Linked DNA regions of Anolis sagrei. The protein of the gene in region 2 binds, or shares a complex with, the protein of the main gene of each other region. Links are inferred from orthologs where the notes say so. Each region holds a gene or a part of one and is shown on either strand. Other genes may lie near its edges.

The links. The genes of interacting proteins can lie anywhere in the genome.
Region 1: the proteins of MPP1 (region 2) and GYPC are in contact, whole or in part, in an NMR structure (PDB 2EJY), measured with the Homo sapiens proteins. The link is inferred for Anolis sagrei from reciprocal best matches to the Homo sapiens genes MPP1 and GYPC. Residues at the interface, in NP_002427.1 of Homo sapiens: Pro81, Met82, Gly83, Ile84, Leu86, Lys87, Leu88, Leu100, Val130, Gln134; in NP_002092.1 of Homo sapiens: Arg123, Lys124, Glu125, Tyr126, Ile128.

What each region holds. Positions count from the first base shown.
Region 1 is NC_090021.1:225,761,387-225,772,481, reverse strand, and holds the start of GYPC (glycophorin-C), read right to left. Parts: upstream 4,431-11,095; 5' UTR 4,221-4,430; coding exon 4,187-4,220; intron 1-4,186. UniProt on the Homo sapiens protein: This protein is a minor sialoglycoprotein in human erythrocyte membranes. The blood group Gerbich antigens and receptors for Plasmodium falciparum merozoites are most likely located within the extracellular domain.
Region 2 is NC_090030.1:15,266,315-15,277,194, reverse strand, and holds the start of MPP1 (55 kDa erythrocyte membrane protein), read left to right. Parts: upstream 1-6,289; 5' UTR 6,290-6,526; coding exon 6,527-6,631; coding exon of another isoform or gene 6,632-6,635; intron 6,636-10,880. UniProt on the Homo sapiens protein: Essential regulator of neutrophil polarity. Regulates neutrophil polarization by regulating AKT1 phosphorylation through a mechanism that is independent of PIK3CG activity.

The sequences.
Region 1 (11,095 bases), on a different chromosome or scaffold from region 2:
TTGGCTGGATTCAAATTATAAGAAAAGAGAAGTTCTAAACTTTAGGGAGAACTTCCTGATAGTAAGTGTGTGCAATAGTGAAATAGGCTACTTTGGAATGTCTCCTTCTTTGGAGATTTTAAACAGAATCTAGACAGCCATCTGTTGGGAGCACTGTGATTGTGTATTCCTGCATGGCAGAGGTTGGATTCAATGGTATTTGTAATGTATTCTAATTATGATTCTATGATTTATAGAAAAAATGGGTTGTTTCTGTTTTTAAGAAACAGATGTAGATATTAGAGAAACAAAAAGTCAAAGAAATAAATATGTCTAATTCCTCAGTAGAGCTCACTACTTCCCTCTCTGAGGTTTGAAAGAGAAGGTACATAGTGTGTGATCTCATCCAAGGCTACACTGCTACCGTTTGAGGGCTTTCCAGGTAGACACCTTTTAATAGAGCCAAAATAAATTAACTCGGACCAAATATATGTTAAATATGGGATTCATCATTAGTAGTTTATGACATCATGCATTATCACTCTCAAGACACTCCACATTAACGACCAAAAAGTCTTCAGGAGGCAGCTGCTGATAACAAACTGAAACAGAGTTTACTGGGGAATCAGACACTCCAGAAATGAGAGTGAGGAAAGAGAGGTGGCAGCAGTGGAAATTGCATTACAACGTTAAGGCTGCACAGAAATATTAAACTGACAACATTTTACTGCAGAATTGTTCATTTTAATTCACTGGATCCCTGTGGTGAAACATATGTTGGAGAACAAATTATGTGAAAATTTGGCTGCTGTAGGGATTACAATACTCAACGCAGTCTGGCTTTTCTGAAAGCCCACGTACCTTCATCCAAAAAACAGGCAGCTGACCCAATGGACATGTGGTCTCCACTGAGTATATATTCAATGACAGTAATTACTGAGGTTTCTTAGAGTAACTTCATTAAGAAGGATTTCTATTTTGCTGTCTGTTGGCTTGATATGGCAGATGTTTCATTAGCAGGGTCTGTTGAGTTCCTGGTTGCAAATCAATCATTCCACAAATCCTTCCTTTTTCTCTTTGGGTAACATATATCTACTACTGAATTTGAAAAATGAGTCATTTGTTAAATAGTAGAGTGCAGCCCATTAGAAATAAATATAATAATTTTACTGCTCTAGAGCAATGGGCCATTGTGCAAGTATTATCAATTTACTGTAAACAAAGATAACAGCTATCAATTTATTATAAATAAATATAATAAATATATTGTGTGAGGGAAATGACATTAAACAATTCTACTGTCTTGTCTATTTGCTATTTTTAATAGCTATATTTTAACTGATTTTAATTTGGAGTCAATTTAATGATTTTTGAGGTCATTAAACTGACCCCAAATAATATGTATGTTGTTTAGGTTTTCTTAAAATTATTGTAAGCAAACTTTAGTGTCAGATTGGCAGAAAGGACGGATAATGCTGGTGCTGCTGCCACTTCAATCTGTTTAAAAGATGTTTTGCTGATTCTGAGACTTTCCGTAGTGACAAGACACCTGCCTTGTTTAGAAAATACTCATGCAGGCTGGTTAAGAGCTGCAGCAATAATATCTTATTGTGTGGCCTACATGAGATATTGCAACTGTGCTGTGCCCATCCTGTGGTAGGCCAATGTTTCTTTCTCCCACTGACATGTTTGAAAAGTCCAAGGTCTAAGTGGTAAGCATATGGATAATGCAGTGTGCCATTGTGTTTTAAGTCTTGTACTACAACTCTGGAGACAATGGTTCTAATCCTCATTCTGACATAGAAATCCATTGGGTGTCCCTGGGTAAATCACACACTCTCAACTTCTGAAAACTGCACAATAGGATCACCTTAGAATCAACAGAAGTTGGAAATTACTTGAAGGCGCACAATAAGACTTACTCTACATTATGAATTTAAAAAAAACTTTGATTCAGATTGGACATTCCATCTTTTTGCTATGCAACGGACACAGAAAGCCACTAGAATCTAATTTCATTTCCATAGACCCTAAGAACATAGGATGAAGTTCAAAAACATTTCCCTTTTCTCTGTCTTAGCACCTAGATGTGCCTCCTGAAAATGTGGTGCTTTGAGGGTGACTCTCCTATTGTGCACATTTAGGTGTGCCTTTGACCTGCATGCACAGGTTCTGCACACTTCCACTCAGTAATTTAAAGGAGATTTATTGCAAGGCCCAGAGTCTCCCAACCAGTGGGCATTCCAGGTTCTAGAAGCTGTAGTCCATAAAAAGACACAAAAGCCAATGAAGAAGGGACTGTTCAAAGTTCTGCTTGTAAGATCCAAGCCATCACACATATAGCACCATTTGCTTATACATACATGGCTAATCTGTACAAAGGCTGTCAGTGGCATATTAAAGTGTTTTCTATGCTCTTAGGCCCCTATATCCCATATTACAGTGGCTCTCAACCTGTGGATCCCCAGGTGTTTTGGCCTACAACTCCCAGAAATCCCAGCCAGTTTACCAGTTGTTAGGATTTCTGGGAGTTGAGGGCCAAAACACTTGGGGACCCACAGGTTGAGAACCACTGCCATATTATCTTCTTATCCCAGAATGTCTGGCAGTAGAGACTCGTATAATCCAGTTTAAATCAGATGATCTGGGATCAGATTCTGGAATATAGGGTGGTGTAGAAGGAGCCTTAGTCAAATGCAGACATGGCAAATAAGATGGGGCTACAATAATTAAAACAGTCAGAGGAAGAGGGAAGGGGAAATGAGAAATTATTATTTTGGTTTCTGCATTTTTGTAAAAGTAATTACAGTACATTTTAAAAATCTTTCCAAGCAAAATTAGAAACATTATATACTTTTATGTGGAGTTCTTTTGAAACTGCTCATCATTACACAGTATAGGCCATTTATGTATACCTTATGTTTTCAGCAGCCTACCATGTAACTATTTGGATTGGAAGTGTGCTTAAAATAAAATGAGGAGAAGAAAGACACACGTGTTTGCCTCTTTCTCCTCATTTGTGCCCAGAAAACCTGTTCTCAAAATTTACCAATTATCTAAGAACTGATTTCTCCAATTTTCTAAGAACTCTTTTATGTCAAACATTTGGAACAAAGGCTGTTGGTTAATGGAACAGCTGTCCACTTTGTACAAGATCCATGACACAGTGAATGAGCAATGCTCAATTTATCCTTTGCTACATTTCTGACTTACTGTACTTCCTTTTCTGCTTGTTTTCCTCCCTGTTCATTTTAGATTGTAAGGCCCTTGGGGCATTTTTTCTTAGGAAGGTTTGAAAATGCAGCTATATATTTATTGCACCATGCTAAATGAACACATGATAAATATGACTGTGCCATTATTAATTCTGTTGTAATATTACCAAATGTGTTCTCACCAAATTTCAGGCTTTCCCATATTCACAATATGATCTCTAGCTTGGAATCCACTTTGGTAACACTGTTGGAAACTTATACTAACTTCTCAGTTCTCAAAGAATTCATAAACTTTACAGTAGAAAGTTTGTTGCTTCTTTTTCATATTCACCTATCCTAGTTCTCCCCACTCTAACATCTATCATAGTATAACTTTTCACTGAAAAATATGCAACTACGGAAACAGGAAATATGCTCCCTCCCCATTCCATTCTCATAGGCCTGCTTTGCAAAGGTTGTGAAAACAAAAATGCATTGTGGCTAAATATAGGCTGACAGTTTACGGCTTGGTTCTCATGTTACACAGAGATAGTTCCCTGTCTGTATATGAGTGAAGTAGTAAAATGTCCCATGAGAGAAGCAGAGAGTGTGTGTAAGAGGCAAAACTAGCAAACAGTTATCTGAAAGTCAGTAAAAAATGAATAAACAAAAGAAATGCAATTAATTCATTCTAGTTTCAGCTACATTTTCTCTGTAACAGATTCAAAACTTTTTTACCTAGAGTTAAAATCGATGAAAATGACTGTTGTCTTTGGATCCTTGCTTTAACTTCTACACACATGCTTTCATTCTTTTTGCTTAAACCCTCCCACACTGCTAAATGTAGGAAAGAAAGGAAGCAAAGTTTGAAGAACAGCCTTTAGAAAGGAGATCTCTGCATACAAAGTTTCTTTTAAAATAGTTCTTTTAAACAAATTAACATTAACCTTAAGGGTTGTACAGTTGCCGTTACAGTACTACCGTGGGAGGGGGAATTGATAATGAGTACTCACGCGGAGCAGATGTTGAACTGTTATAGGAATTCATTCTTTATGCATTCAGAAAAGTGCCCCCCTCCCTTTTTGTACAGTCTTGCTTTCCTAGCCGCAGTCCAAAGTTGGGTGAAGCAGAACAGCTGGAAGGGCTGGGGAGAAACCAGGAGAAAGCCGCTCTTGTTCGGATGTCTCTTCTCTGGTTCTTGACCATTTACCACTGGAAAAGGAAACAGCCCATGTGTCATTCCGTTTGGCCTCTCCAACTCATATGAGGAGGGGAGGGGCTCCAGTTTTTAGATAAGCACTAACTGTTTTTTACTTTTCTTTTTCCTGTTCCCAGCCAGCGAGGACCTTTCCACATTCAGCAAGCAATAAGTTGAAGCAAATACAGCCTTACTCCAAATTAAAAGCTAAATGCATCTTGTACAGCAACATAAAACATAACATAAAACACAACATAAACAACAGTGAACTTTAAGGTGGAAGGGATGCTGGTTTTATCAAATCAAGGGGAGGAATTAAAATGGACTATTATTTTGCTGCTTTATTGCAGCAGGATTTCTTTATAGAGACACAGGGGAAAATGTCCTTGTCTTTTGTTTTGTTTTTATTAAGGGTTTTTTTATGTCAGAAGTGACTTGAGAAACTGCAAGTCATTTCTGGTGTGAGAGAATTGACCATCTGCAACAACATTGCCCAGTGGACTCCTGGATGTTTTTGATGTTTTATTATTCTTGTGGGAGCCTTCTCTCATGTCCTTGCATGGGGAACTGGAGATGACAGTGAGCTCATCCAGCTCTCCTTGGATTTGAACCTCTGATCTGTTGGTCTTCAGTCTTGCCAGCACAAGGGTTTAACACATTGTGCCACTGGGGCCTCTGCATTGAGAGGGTAAAAAGTATTACAAAGGGCTCTTAGAATCTGCTGGGGCTTGGTCCAGGGTCCACCCATGGATCCTAAAATCTATGGATGCTCAAATCCTACTATATACAATTGTGTCGTAAAATGGCAAAATGGTAAAAATGGATTTTTAAGAAAACATTTTCAAGCTGTGGATGCCAGAATCTGTGGATTCAGTAGGCTGGCTGTATATGTCCCCATTCCACTTTTGCCTCTGATGTAGCAGGTTTTATAGGTGTTTGTAAGAGAGAGTGCAGAAAAATCTTGTGTGCATTGCTGCAGTTTAGAGGCTCACTTTCAAACTGAAGTAATGCTGGTTCCAAATTCTCCTGTGCTATGAAATCAGAAAGGGAAGTCTGTGATCTACTTAACCTTATGTAAAATGTGTGTGTCACTTCTGACACACACCCAGAGGGGGCCCTAGGTAATTTTCAATGGTAAGCAAACAGTATTTTGACACCCCCCCCCCCAAACCAATCACTGATATATATTTTCTGTTTGTCGTGGGAGTTTTGTGTGCCATATTTGGTTCAGTTCCATCATTGGTAGAGTTCAGAATGCTCTTTGATTGTAGGTGAACTGTACATCCCAGTAACTACAACTCGCATATGTCAAGGTCTATTTTCCCCCAAGAGTGTCTCAAGAGCGCCCCTGGGCAAAATCAACTATACTGCAAATGCTTACTTTGCGTAATGGTTGAGCTGCCCCTGCACACACCTTATGTAAAATATATATCTGGTTCTTTGGCTATTTTGAAATACTATTTATTTTGCACCCACTAACAATTCTGTGCATGTGGGACAATTTTATCCTTTAAAATACATTCTCATTCCAATGGAGCCAGAAAATACATTAGAAATCACTCAGTGCATTTTATCTGCATGGATGAGGTTTAATATACTATTGACTACAGCCTTGTTTACCTAGTTTAACATTTGTTTGCCTCTGTTGTCTACCGGTCATTCAAGCTGATGGTAGTATTTGTTCTGCATCCTGTCTCTTTGGAGCCTAATTTTCTGTTCATTATATTATGGTATTCCTTGTGGAATTTGGCTTAGATGATGATGATGATGATGATGATGACGACGACGATGATTATTATATTTATACCCTGCTTTATCTCACCAAAGGGGGCTCAAAACAGCTTGACATAAAAGCATTGGTATCCAATTGAAAATATACAATATACAAATATTAAAACAGAATGATACAGAAAAAGTATTTTAAAATTCAGTTAAAATTCATCAAACATGTTCAAAGTTAAAAATTATAGCATCTCCTGACTAGATCTTAAACATCTTCATCTTTAAATGCCTGTTTGAATAAAAAGGTTTGGAAGAACATTGGAAGAACAGGAGGCCATTCTGATTTCCCTTGCCAGGGAGTTCCAGAGTCAATGGGCAAAGAAGGAAGGCTCACTCTTTTGTTCCCACCAACTGAGCTTGAGATGGAGGTGGGACTGAATGAAGGGCCTCTCCTGAACATCTCAGGGCTTGGGCAGGTTCATACAAGGGGATGCGGTCAGCCAGATAGTCTTGGTCTCAACCATTTAGGGCTTTAAAGATCATAACCAGCACTTTGAACTGTCCACTGGCAGCCAGTGGAGCTACTGCAATTGGGGGGGGGGGGGGGGGTTGTCCGCTCCCTGTAGCCAGCCTCAGTTAGCAACCTGGCTGCATCTCTTTCGACCAGTTGAAGTTTCTGAGAACTCTTCAAAGGCAGCCCCACATAAAGTGCATTACAGTAATCCAGATGGGATGTAACTAAGGCATGTACCACCATGGCCAGATCTGGTTTCTCAAGGAACAGGCACAGTTGGAGCACAAGTTTTAATTGTGAAAAGGCCCTCCTGGCCAGTGCAAATGTCTGGGCCTCCAGGTTCAGCACTGAGACAAGGAGGACCCCCAAACTGTGGACCTATGTCTTCAAGGGGAGTGTGACCCCATCCAACACAGGCTGTATCCTTATTCCCTTCTGACTGACCAGGAGCACCTCTGTCTTGCATAATCTGCATATAGGTGGCACCCAACTCTAAAACTCCAGATGACTTCTCCCAGCGGTTTCATGTATATGTTGAACAGCATGGGGGACGAAATGGAATCCTGAGGAACCCCACAGGTCAATGGCCAGGGGTTTGAACAGGAGTCCTCCAGCACCACCTTCTGGGTAGGGTGCCCCAGGAAGAACCGAAGCCACTGTAAAACAATGCCTCCCAGTACCATCACTGTGAGATAACCCAGAAGGATACTGTGGTCAATGGTATTGAAAGCTACTGAGAGATTCAGGAGAACCAACAGGGACACACTCTCCCTGTCTAGTTCTCTGCATAGGTCATCCCCAAGGTGACAAAAGCTGTCTCTCTTCCATAATCAAGACTGAAACCAGATTGAAATGGATCCAAATAGATAAACCTTGCTCAGAAAGGGGAGGTTGGACACTGTCCGATAGTTGTCCATTAGGCCTGGGCGGTTTCGTTTCGTTAATTCGTAATTCGTTAATAATTCGTTAATTTTTTAATTACAAAACGATAACGAACCATTCTGGAGCAATCATTAAAAAAACAAATTTTTAAACACGTTTTGTAAATGCTTCGTATTTCGTTATTGTATTCGTTTCGTTATTGTTCTGAGGTCGTTTCGTTATTATTTCCGCATGTCTGGGCCAGTTTTATGGTTTAATTAGTGAAAAAAAATTATAATATCACACCAACAGTCAAGAACAGAGGGAGAGGGAAGCTTCAGAAGTTTTTGGAGGTTTTTTAGCGTATTTCGCGGTTGCGTCCGTCATTAACGAATCGATTCATTATTGTTTCGGAAATCGATTCGTTAATTTTTTACCATTTACGAAATTTCGTAAATATCGAACTTTTTAAAAGGAAAATTTTGTAATTATTTTAAATATCGAAACAAAAAAACCCCCCAAATACAAATCGATTTTAGAAACAAATTTTTGCGTTGTTACCCAGGCCTATTGTCCATTAGAGAGAGGTTCAGGGATGGTTTTTTAAATGTAGGTCTCATAACTGCCGCCTTTAGGCAAACTGGAACTCTGCCTTTTTTAAGGAGGCATTGACCACCACCTTCACCCACTCTGCTAATCCCCCTCTGACCTGTTTGATCAGCCAAGAAGGGCGAGGATCTAGAATACATGTGGTAGTTCTCACCTCTCCAAGGCAAGATTTATTCCGTTAAAGATGCCATTGTCTTCCTTTGAGGCTGGGAGAGTGGGATTTTCCCATGGCTACCAAGTGAGTTTCCATGTTCTCCAGCTGTCCTATTCCAACATTCAAACCGCTATGCTATACTAGCTCCCATGAACAATACCACACTGAATGCATCAGTGATCCATTTCTGAAAAGTGCAATGATTCTCTGCCCAAATAAATGATATGAATCAGAGAATAAGAAGACTGAACTGCCGGAAGACATCTAAGATGGTGTTGTCAAAGGCTTTCATGGCCGGAATCACTGGGTTGTTGTAGGTTTTTCAGGCTGTATGGCCATGTTCTAGAAGTATTATCTCTTTATTTATTTATTTATTTATTTATTTATTTATCTTATGATATTTCTACCCCACCTTTCTCAAACCTGAAGGTGACTCAAGAACAAAGGCAGCTATTCAGTGCCAATTAAAACAATGTAAAAATTACAATATCAATTTAAACAGAATTATAAACAACATACATTAAAACCTATAAAAACATCTATGGCAGGCATCCTCAGAGATCTGGCATGTAGCTGGGGGGGGGGGAGGGTTGAGGGGCTTCAGCCCCCCCCCCTCCGCCCCAAATTCTCATGGTGGTCCGCGAGAAGGCCTTACTAGTGCATTATTTAAACTGTTATGTTTATTCATATCATGATCTGATCACCATACTCAATATATCCCATATGCATGGGGGTATTGGGGTAACAGTACAAAAGGTTTGCTAGGGTAGACCCTCTTTCAATCAAACTCAGCCCCCCCCCCCCGAATCAAACTCACCCCCCCCCCCCCGAATCAAAATCCTGGCTACGGGCCTGTCAGAGATAAACACTACCTCTGAGGATAAATAATAGATGCAGGTGAAATGTCAGGAGAGAATACTTCTAGAACATGGCCATACAGCCCAAAAAACCTACAACAATCCAGGATGGTATTTAGTCCAACCCAGTCCAAGCTCTGCAATGCAGAGTCACATAGAGAGATCGCCTTCCAGCTTCCAGTGAAACATCACCAGCAAAGAGAGGTGTTTTGTTGCAAACAACTTCGGCTACACAGATTTTTCTTGCAATATTTCACCAAAACCTGTCTCAATTGATCTTGCCCTCTGAAGGAAAAGAGAACAAGTTTGTTCTCTCTCTATGCAACATTGCTTTACATATCCAAAACTCAGCTCTGATCTTAAATTGATATTGCTTTCCCTGGGTAATTATGTACTTAATATTTACTTTATGTATTTGAGATTTAGACCATCTGACAGGTAAGCTTCTCTTGATATTATACAAAACACTTTAGGAATATATGAATAATACCACTTCTTCAGGCAAAAGGTGCTTTCTTGGGTGGGTGGTAGTAAAAATGGCCCCTCGTAACCAATCGGACACAATCACCCACAGTAAAACTTGTGTCTTACCTGGATTTAGTCTAAGCATACCTTGTCAACAAAATGGTTAGCATTTATTTTTTAAAAAATAGAATACTGAAAAACAAGAAGTTAAAAAAGGCTACAGAATAGATAAAATAGCAGTCTTTAAAGCTTTACTTTTAAAGCAAAAATGTCTTTTTTTCAAAAGGAGAAAAACCCTGTGCACACCCAAATAGGCACTAATACATTTATTTATTTTGTAAACTTTATCCAGCCTTTCTACCAACTGATGGAAAAATGGCAAACAAATGTGAGCTCAGCCAGTATGAAACAAATGAGATTTCAGGGAAGGTTTAGAAAAAAGAGATCTTAGGAATGTTACTTTTTGTATTGCAGCTTCCAGAATCCCCCAGCAAGTGGAAAATCCATGAGCTGTCATCCTCAATTGGAGATTTCATACCCAGACACTTTGCTTGCCTTTAAAGAGGGGAGCCAAACGAGGACACTACCATCTCCAAATAAGAAGCCTGCCTCTTCAAGAAATTTTGCTCCTATCTCCAAATTACTGACATTGCAGAGAGAGAATTGAAACTCACTAAAACCTAGACTTCTATTTGATGTGTTTACATTTCTTCAATCACATTAAAAGTAAAAGTAAAGGTTTCCCCTGACATTAAGTCTAGTCATGTCCAACTCTGGGGGTTGGTACCCATCTCCATTTCTAAACCGAAGAACCGGTATTGTCCATAGACACCTCCAAGGTCATGTGGCCAGCATGACTGCATGGAGTGTCATTACCTTCTTGCCGAAGCGGTACTTATTGATCTACTCACGTTTGCATGTTTTTGAACTGCTAGGTTGGCAGAAACTGGGACTAACAGTGGGAGTTCACTCCGCTCCTCAGATTGGAACCATCAACTTTTCGGTCAGCAAATTCAGCAGCTCAATGGTTTAATCCACTGCACCACCAGGGGCTCCTGGTTACAACATTAGGAGAGCTCAAATTCTTTTTCTTAAAGGTAGCTAAGGTAAGAGATAGTAGAGTCCTATGGATGAGAAGGAAGAAGTAGATACTAGAAAGATCTGTCTTATAAAACCAGAACCCCAAGGTCATCTGATAAAGTTAAACTTTGAGAAACTTTGGCTGAACTTTTAAGTCACTGCAATACTATTACATCTGGTGATTAACAGAACGTTTCATTTCAAGGAGTATAAGTCTTATTTTGGGGCAATACCCTCATTTTGACCCCTCCTTGTATTTACGTCTCTGTATTCCTTCCTTGGCTAGTTTTTGTGTGTGCCCTGGATGAGTGCTAACTATCTGACAATCACTTCACATTCTTTGCTACCAAGGGTAACTTAGTACCATAGCTATCAACACTCTTTCGTCAAATATGGGTATTATCTAAGGCTAACCCATACTGATAGTCCTGTTCACAGGAAAAACAACTGCTCCTCATGTGA
Region 2 (10,880 bases):
CCTTAATCTCACTGGATTCACCTGAAATTCATAAAGTTGTGTGTGTGCATTTTGCAGTATTAATTGTAAAAATATACAGAGCAATTAATTCCCACTGACTTTACAAAAGACCTGCCCTTGGTAGGAATGGAAAGCCTTTACTTTTACCTGTGTGTCTAATTGTTTCGAGACATTGAATGTTTGCTTAGTGTCTCTATATTTGCTGGAATGCACCCTGAGTCCCCTCAGGAAGATTGGGTGGAATACAAATAAAGTGTTGTTATTATTATGTTATTAAATGCCCAGAGTATAGATTAGCCCAGTTGCCTATATTCTGGATACTTCCTACGAGATGAGAGTTTAAATGTTATTAACTAATACTACACCAGTATAGATGCTATAATATTTTTAAAAAATTACTTTGGATGGGATAGCAATTAGTTGTCCATGACAGAAAGGATATTATTATTATTATTATTATTATTATTATTATTATTATTATTATTATTCCAGAGGTGTCTCATGAAATTATATTTCATTCTAATAACAGTATATACACTACACATGTAATAAATAATAATAATAATAATAATAATAATAATACTTTAATTTATATTCCACTCTATCTCCCCAAAGGGACTCAGGGCGGATTCCAAACATAAAAGGCAAACATTCAATGCCCGAATACAACAACAATACATCCATATTAACAAAATGTATACAACCCAACATATAAATATGAATTATAACTTAACTAAAATTAAATTTAAAAAAAACATAGCCTGTTTTAACAGACATAAGACAAAACACAAATACATACATATTGGTGTGTTGTTTTTTGTTTGCTTGTTTGTTTACAGTATTTTTATTCCTCCCTTCTTACCTCGAAGGGGACTCAGGGTGGATCACAGAACACATATACAACAAACATTCAATGCTGTTATACACAGACAGGACAGACAACAGTACAGATAGTGGTATATAGACATTTTTCATCTTTGGCATCCTAGAGGTTGTGCTCAGTTCCGGCCACAAGGGGGTGCTGTCACTCCATCCTCCATGTCGAAGAGCCTTGTTCACAGACTTCCTCCTTTTTTTATCGCTGGCATTTTCCTTATGGTGTCATTAAAATACCTCTCCACTTAAGCAGTACCTATTTATCTACTCACAGTTGTTTTCGATCTGCTAGGTGGGGAGTGAGCTGGGCTGAAGGTTAGGCGCTCACCCCTGACCTGGACTTTGAACTGCCAACCTTTTCATAGAATCATAGAGTTGGAAGAGACCTCGTGGGCCATCCAGTCCAACCCCCTGCCAAGAAGCAGGAAAATCGCATTCAAAGAACCCCTGACAGATGGCCATCCAGCCTCTGTTTAAAAGCTTCCAAAGAAGGAGCTTCCACCATACTCTTGGGAAGAGAGTTTCACTGCTGAATGGCTCTCACAGTCAGGAATCTCTTCCTAATGTTCAGATGGAATCTCATTTCTTGTAGTTTGAAGCCATTGTTCTGTGTCCTAGTCTTCAGGGCAGCAGAAAACAAGCTTGCTCCCTTCTCTCTATGACTTCTTTTCACATATGTATACATGGCTATCATATCTCCTTTCAGCCTTCTCTTCTTCAGGCTAAACATGCCCACCTCTTTAAGCCGCTCCTCATAGGGCTTGTTCTCTTTTAATTGGCAAGATTTATGGCAGCTGGTGGTTAACCTGCTGTGCCAAAGCCTGGCACTGTTGTTGTTGTTATTCCAAGTGGTCTCATGAAATTGTATTGTATTATAATGGCAATATATACACTATACATGCACATACATACATATTGGTGTTGTTGTTGTTGTTGTTCCCAGTGGTCTCATGAGATTCTATTCCATTCTGGGTCCTTAGTAACTATAAGTGAGGCATCAATTCAACAGATGCAACCCATTTTAACACTGCAACATAAATGCTGGGAAAATGTACACAGACAAGCTGGCAACCTTAACAGGATTTTATTGATTTAGGGGTCTGTGTCTCCTTTCTCTTTTTACTTTCCAGAATTCTCATAGATTGAAGAGGATCTTCCAGAAGTGATCAGCGTCTTTTGATTACCAGACCCAGGAATCTCTCCGTTGAGAAGCCCCACTTTGCGAAGAAAGTCTTGGGGAGCTTGGAAAAGTTACTTTTTAGGACTATAATTTCTTTAGCCAGCAAGGACACTGCTCGGCTGACTAGGGTTGTTTTGCTTCTCTAAATGCAATTTTTCAGAAGGAGGCATATTACCCTTTCTGTTATTGCAAAACAGTTGCAATAACAGAAGTTCTGTCACTGTCCGTCACTTTGCGACAAACAATGTTGTTTAAGATGGAGCAATTCTGGTGTGGACAAGAGTGAGTATCTGTGTTTCAAAGATAGAGATATTTGAACAGGCCAGTAAAATAAAAATGTTTACATTTACATTACTTGATGTAATCAATAAAATGTCTGCTGTTTTGACTCTCTGTCATTTGTTGAAATGCTTTAGAGCAACTCCAGATGGATTGAAATGTTCCAGATTTTGGGTTGCCGTGAGTTTTCCAGGCTGCATGGCGATGTTCCAGAAGCATTCTCTCCTGACGTTTCGCCCACATCTATGGAAAGCATCCTCAGAGGTTGAGGGATCTGTTGGAAACTAGGCAATAATAATAATAATAATAATAATAATACTTTATTTGTACCCCGCTACCATCTCCCCAAGGGACTCGGTGCGGTTTATATATCTGTGTAATGTCCAGGGTGGGAGAAAGAACTCTTGTGCATTTGAGAAAAGTGCAAATGTTGCAATTGGTCACCTTGATTAGAATTGAATAGCCTTGCAGCTTCAAAGTCTTGCTGGTTGCTGCCTAGGGGAATCCTTTGTTAGGAGGTGTTAGCTGGTCCTAGGGTCAGCTAACTCCTCCCAACAAAGGAGTTCCCCAGGCAGCAAAAACCAGGCTTTGAAGCTGCAAGGCCATTCAATTCTAATTAAGGTAGCCAATTGGAACATTCATACTTGCCTCCAACAGACAAGAGTTCTTTCTCCCACCCTAGACATTCCACTGATATATCAACCCCACTTGCCTAGTTTCCAACAGACCTCACAACCTCTGAGGATGCCTGCCACAGATGTGGGCAAAACGTCAGGAGAAAATACTACTGGAACATGGCCATACAGCCCAAAAAATGCTCAGCAACTCCAGCAATGAAAGCCTTCAAAAACACATTGTTCCAGTTTTTGTTCCTGTTCTTTCCAATTTTCTTCTGGGGTCCATTCACATTGAATAATTTCTATGAGCTGCTGGCACACTAGTAATTATCCATGCTATTTTAAGATATAACAAACCATTTTCACAGCCAAGACCGTTTAAAACCTATTAGAAGACAGAATACAAAAGATCTGTATTTCAAAGCTGATCACAGGGTGTATCTGCACTGCAGAATTAATACAGTTTGACACTATTTGAACTGCGACGTCTCAGGTGCTGTTTCCACTGCCATACAATGCAGATGAACAACACTGAACTGCATTACATAGTAGCATAGATTCATATAAGCCAACTTGATGCAATTAATCTGCATTCTGAAACTGTATTATATGGCAGTGTAGATAGGAGCCTCAATGTATTGGAATCCTGGGAATTTTGTTTATAGCACTGAGCCATGGCACTGAAAGTGGTCTCAAACTGCACTAATTCTATAGTGTAGATCAATGTTCCTCAATCTAGAAGTCAGGACCCCGTGGGGGGTGTTGTGAGAGGGGTGTCAGAGGGGTTGCCAAAGACCATCAGAAAACGCTGTTGGTCATGGGGTTTCTGTGTGGGAAGTTTGGCCCAATTCTATCATTGGTGGGGTTCAGAATGCTCTTTGATTGTACGTGAACTACAAATCCCAGAAACTACAACTCCAAAATGTCAAGGTCTATTTCCCCCAAGTTCTACCACTGTTCACATTTGGGCAAATTGAGTATTCATGCCAAATTTCATCCAGATCCATCATTGTTTGAGTCCACAGTACTTTCTGAATGTAAATGAACTACAACACCCAAAACCCAAGGTCAATTCCCACCAAACCCTTCCATTATTTTCTGTTGGTCATGGGAGTTCTGTGTGCCAAGTTTGGTTCAATTCCATCATTGATGGAGTACAGAATGCTCTCTGATTGTAGGTAAACTACAAATCCCAGCAACCACAACCAGGGGTGGCTCGTCCATTACGCGAAATAAGCGGTCGCAGAACACTTTTTTTGCCAGGGGCGCAGAGGTGCCTCTGTAAATGCCCCTTGACCGCCGCTTGAGGAGCAGCTCACAACAGCCCTAGAAGTCCGGGGGGAGCCTCGGCTTTCTTGCCTCACCGCTGGGCGATCCTCTTCCCAAAGGGGCCGGGCCCTTGAGCCTCGCCTAGCCCCTCTCCTTCCTGCTCCACCCAGCCACAGGGTGCGCGAGCAGAGCCGGCACTCAATCGTTTTCCGCGTTCGATCCCTTCCCCATGATTGGCTCCCTTTCACGATCCCCCGGCACTCCACCCGCCTCCTCTCCTCTCCCCAATCTGTGGGTGGGCCAAGGGGTGGAGCCGCTGCGCCTGGCCCGCTTCAGGTCCGGCCGGCATGTCTGAAGACCCCAGCGTGCGCACCAAAAGTCGCCTCTTCTCCTGACTTTCTCTTCAGCCATTGGGACCGAGAGAGAGAGAGAGAGAGAGCCCCTCCGGCTGGAGGTATCTCCCACCTCCGCTCCCTCCTTTGTTTTTGCACCTACCTACAGGAAAGGTGGGCATCTCCACCTCTCTCTCTCTCTCTCTCTCTCTCTTGGTCCCACTGGCTGAGGAGAAAGTCAGGAGAAGAGGTGACTTTTGGTGCACACGCTGGGGTCTTCAGGCACGCCTCCAGACCCAAAGCGGGCCAGGCAAGGGAGCAAGTGCAGCAAGTGCAGTTACTGGGATGTATAGTTCACCTACAATCAAAGAGCATTGTGAACTCCACCAATGATGGAATTGAACCAAATATGGCACACAGAACTCCCACAACGAACAGAAAATATATATCAGTGATTGATTTGAGGGGGGAGGGGGTGCCAAAATACTGTTTGCTTACCATTGAAAATTATCTAGGGCCGCCTCTGATGGCAGGAACACTTTTCCTCTGGGTGGGTCTTCATCTTTACTCTCGTGGCTTGTTCTCGGTTGTCTTGCAGCTCTTCTGATGTCTGAGGTGGAGTCTCCATTGGCCTGGAGAGCCCAGTTGAGGTGGTTCAGTTCATCTTGGAGGAGGTGGGGTTCGCAGATTCTTTTTGCACGGTCTGCCAAGGCTTTAATGGTGCTTCTTTTTTGACTTGGGTGATGGTTGGAGTTTTTATGTAGATATCTATCTGTGTGTGTGGGTTTTCTGTAAACGGTGTGACCCAACTGTTGATCTGGTTTGCCCCTTTTTTCCCAGTTTCCAGCAGACCTCACTACCTCTGAGGATGCTTGCCATATAGATGCAGGCGAAACGTCAGGAGAAATGCCTCTAGAACATGGCCATATAGCCCGAAAAAACCCACAAGAACTGAATAATAATAACTACAACCCCCAAATGAGAAAATCAATCCTCCACAACCCCACCAGTATTCAGATTTGGGCATATTTTGTGCCAAATTTGGTCCAGTGAATGTATATACAGGCACGCCTGGCGGGGATGAGGGATAGGGCCTTCTCGGTGGTGGCCCCCCGGCTGTGGAACGCCCTCCCTGTAGACATCAGACAGGCGCCCTCCCTTATGACATTCCGCAAAAGACTAAAGACATGGTTATTTGAGAGGGCGTTCGACTAAGTGCTACAATTGGCAATGATGACTGGAACGGAATATGGATAACGAGATTGGTTATGATTCTACGATGAGACGGCGCGGATGATTTAGTATAATCGTATTATTGATTGTTATGTTGATATTATTGTTGTGATATTCCCTTATTGTAAACTGTTTTTATATGTTGTACACCGCCGTGAGTCGCCCTAGGGCTGAGAACGGCGGTCAACAAATGCAGTAAATAAATAAATAAATAAATAAATATACATCCTGCAGATCAGATATTTACATGACGATTCATAACAGGAGCAAAATGACAATTGTGAAGTAGCAACGAAAATAATGTTGTGGTTGGGGGTCACCACAACAGGAGGAGCTGTATTCAGGATGCCAGAGGATAGAGTTCAGGCGGGGTCAACCTGCGTTCACTGCAGAGGGTGTAGATGCAGCCGTGGGCGGCAGGGGGCGCTGCCGCGTTGCGGGCAAAGGCAGCGGCGCGGCGGGGCTCGGCCGGGGTCTCCTCCTCCTCCTCCTCCTCCTTCTCCTCCTGCGTTGCCTTTGCGCCAAACGGAGGCACCGGGAGGGGCGCTTCCCGGGCTGCCTCCTCCCCGAGAGCCGCCTCCAACCCGCCTCCCTGCCTGCCTTCTTCCCCGGAGCCCAGCCCCGCCGCAGCCCTTTCCGCCTCGGGACGCCCCAGGGATCGGGGCCAGGAGAAGAAGAGAGCAGGGCTATCCCCATCCATCCCTCCATCCATCCATCCCTCCATTGATCCACCGGGCAGCATGACGCTCAAAGGCGGGCAGGCAGGCGACGGCGCGAGCCGCATGAGGACAGTCCTCTCGGACCTCTACCTGGAGCACCTGCTGCAGAACAGGCCCAAGGCCGAGGCGAGTTGGGATGGGGTGGTATGGAGAAGGGGGGGGGGGTCAAACTGGAGGGAGGAGGGGGTGCACGGTGTGTGTGTATATGTGTCCCCACTTTCGCCTTTTCCTGTTTGGGGCTTCCCATGGGGAAAAAAATGCAAATGCATGCTAATTTATGCTAATAATGCAAACATATGCAAATGCATGCTAATGCCCGTATATAAAAACACACCACTTTTGCATCTCCCTCTATACAAATAGGCCCAAATAATGCAAAATAATAGGTTCTTGTAGGTTTTTTTCAGGCTATAGGGCCATGTTCTAGAGGCATTTCTCCTAACACCTCTCAACAGAACATTTTCCCAGGCTCAGCCAAGCCTGCATGCTAATACCCGTATATAAAAACACACCACTTTTGCATCTCCCTCTATACAAATAGGCCCAAATAATGCAAAATAATAGGTTCTTATAGGTTTTTTTCAGGCTATAGGGCCATGTTCTAGAGGCATTTCTCCTAACACCTCTCAAGAGAACATTTTCCCAGGCTCAGCCAAGCCTGCATGCTAATACCCGTATATAAAAACACACCACTTTTGCATCTCCCTCTATACAAATAGGCCCAAATAATGCAAAATAATGGGTTCTTGTAGGTTTTTTTCAGGCTATAGGGCCATGTTCTAGAGGCATTTCTCCTAACACCTCTCAACAGAACATTTTCCCAGGCTCAGCCAAGCCTGCATGCTAATACCCGTATATAAAAACACACCACTTTTGCATCTCCCTCTATACAAATAGGCCCAAATAATGCAAAATAATAGGTTCTTGTAGGTTTTTTTCGGGCTATAGGGCCATGTTCTAGAGGCATTTCTCCTAACACCTCTCAACAGAACATTTTCCCAGGCTCAGCCAAGCCTGCATGCTAATACCCGTATATAAAAACACACCACTTTTGCATCTCCCTCTATACAAATAGGCCCAAATAATGCAAAATAATAGGTTCTTGTAGGTTTTTTTCGGGCTATAGGGCGATGTTCTAGAGGCATTTCTCCTAACACCTCTCAACAGAACATTTTCCCAGGCTCAGCCAAGCCTTCAAATGCTAATGAAGGTGATCAGCTGAAACATTCACACCTAGCTTCAGCAGAGAGCTCTTTGCCCCACCCCAGTCATTCCACAGATATATAAACCCATTTTCCTATTTCCAACAGAACTCACTGCCTCTGAGGATGTTTGCCATAGATGCAGGCGAAACGTCAGGAGAGAATGCCTCTAGAACATGGCCCTATAGCCCGAAAAAACCTACAAGAACCTAGTGATTCCAGCCATGAAAGCCTTCGACAATACAATGCAAAATAATCATTTATACTAATACTAATATATGCACATACTATATGTGCCCATATATACGTAATATGCCACTTTATGCAATTGTCCATCTCTAGATAAATAGCCCCCCCCCCCCCCCAGTGGCGCAGTGGGTTAAAGCACTGAGCTGCTGAGCTTGTTGATCGAAAGGTCACAGGTTCGATTCCGGGGAGTGGCGTGAGCTTCCGCTGTCAGCCCTAGCTTCTGCCAACCTAGCAGTTCGAAAACATGCAAATGTGAGTAGATCAGTAGGTACCGCTCCGGCGGGAAGGTAACGGCGCTCCATGCAGTCATGCCGGCCACATGACCTTGGAGGTGTCTATGGACAACGCTGGCTCTTCGGCTTAGAAATGGAGATGAGCACCACACCCCAGAGTCAGACATGACGGGACTTAGTGTCAGAGGACTACCTTTACTTTTACCTTAGATAAATAGGCCTATTTACGTAAAAATGTCTTATTTATGCAAATGTGCTAATTCATGCAAATAATGCTAATATATGCAAATCACTCTCTCTCTCTCTCTCTCTATATATATATATATATATGCCCATTTATGGAAACTTGCCACTTTCTGCAATTGTGTCCATCTATACAAATAGATCCATGAGGTCAGAAAGAATCGGAGACGACTGAACGAATGAACAACATACAAATAAGCCCACTTATGCAAAATACCCATTTATGCAAATGTATTTATGCAAATAATAGTAATATACAGGAGCCCCCCGGTGGCGCAGTGGGTTAAACCCCTGTGCCAGCAGGACTGAAGACCGACAGGTCGCAGGTTCGAATCCGGGGAGAGGTGGATGAGCTCCCTCTATCAGCTCCAGCTCCTCATGCGGGGACATGAGAAAAGCCTCCCACAAGGATGGTAACACATCAAAACATCCGGGCGTCCCCTGGGAAATGGCCAATTCTCTCACACCAGAAGCAACTTTCAGTTTCTCAAGTCGCAACTTGAGAAACTGCAAGAAGCAACTTGCAGTTTCTCAATATGCAAATGCATGCTAATATATGCAAAAAATACTATATGTGCCCATATATATGAAAACATGCCACATTATGCAATTTTGTCCATCTATATACATAGGCCGGTTTATGTAAACTACCAATTTATGCAATATATGTCTTATTTCTGCAAATATTCCTAATATATGCAAATACTTAATATATACAAGTACATGCTATATATGCCCACATATATATATAAACATGCCACTTTATGCAATTATGTCCTTCGATACAAATATGCCCATTTTTGCAAATATGCCCACTTATGCGAAATCCTTATTCATACAAATATGTCTTATTTATGCAAGTATTACGAATATATGCAAATACTAATACATACAAGTGCATGCTATATATGCCCATATATATATATATACTTATACAAATACCACTTTATGCAATTATGTCCATCTATACAAATATGCCCATTTTTGCAAATATGCCCCCTTATGCGAAATCCTTATTTATGCAAATATGCTTTATTTATGCAAATGTACTCATACATGCCAATCATGCTGCATGCCTTTAGCTCTTTCTCACAGAACCTGGTTGAGGGAGGCAGGGAAATAGGGAATCTCATCTGAATGAATGAATGAATGAAAGAATGGAGTGTCATCCTGGGAGTTGTAGTTTGACCAAGTCTGTCTCCTTCTCTGCCTCGGCCCACTACAACTCTCAGGATTGTGTAGTACCGAGACATAGATGTGGGTTGTCAAACGGTGTCCGTGCTACATGCGAGATGCACTCTTCTCAATGTGATGCTTTGGGTTACAAGCATGCTCACTTGCTCTCCATTTTTAGGAGGACTGAATGCATCTACAGAAGGCTCAGGCAAAATTAGGTCCTCCGGGTGTTTTGGACTCCAACTCCCACCATTCCTAACAGCCTCAGGCCCCTTCCTTTCCCCCCTCAGCCGCTTAAGCGGCTGAGGGGGGAAAGGAAAGGGCCTGAGGCTGTTAGGAATGGTGGGAGTTGGAGTCCAAAACACCCGGAGGACCTAATTTTGCCCATGCCTGATCTACACTTACTACTTGAATGCTTGGGAGCCAGGATAGTTATAGTTTGAGACCCTGTAGTGGATCCTAGGCATGAAAGAGATGTGTTCCAACAACCGTAATGTGTCTGCTTGGATTGTTATCCTTGGAGGGAGCTTTTGGTGCTTTGCTGCTGCGGAAGGAGCCGGCTCTTGTTTGTGCCGCAAAGCTGGTTCGAACTGGAAGTGGCTGTCGCTTGGGCTGCGGAGCCGAACCAATGGGAGCACGAGAAGCCTCCTTGCGCAAGGCAGGCCACATTCATCTCTGTCGGTATCGAGTGCAGATTTTCACCCTCGTTTCGGTTGAACCTGGGACATAACTCTCCCCAGGCAGCCGCTTTTCCCTGAAGCCACCGTCTCTGCAAAACATCACATTATCTAAAAATCACAGCAGTGTGCGCGGGAGAGATACAATTCTAACTTCATTAGGATCCCAGTGAAAAGTGGGACAAAGTTACTTTTCAAAAGCAGGGCAACACAATAGAAATAATGCTACATTATTGGTGCAATGGATAACATTTAGTTCCCAACCTTCCTAATGCCGCGACCCCTTAAGACAGTTCCTCGTGTTGTGGTGACCCCCAAATATAAAATTATTTTTGTTGCTACTTCGTAACTGTAATTTTGCTCCTGTTATGAATTGCAATGTAAATATCTGATATGCAGAATGGATTTTCATTCACTGGGCCAAATTTGACACAAATACCCGATATGCCCAAATTTGAATACTGGTGGGGTTGGGGTAAGATTGATTTTCTTATTTGGGAGTTGTAGTTGCTGGGATTCAGCTACAATCGAAGAGCATTCTGAACCCCACCAACGATGGAATTGAGCCAAACTTCTCACACAGAACTCATTTGGG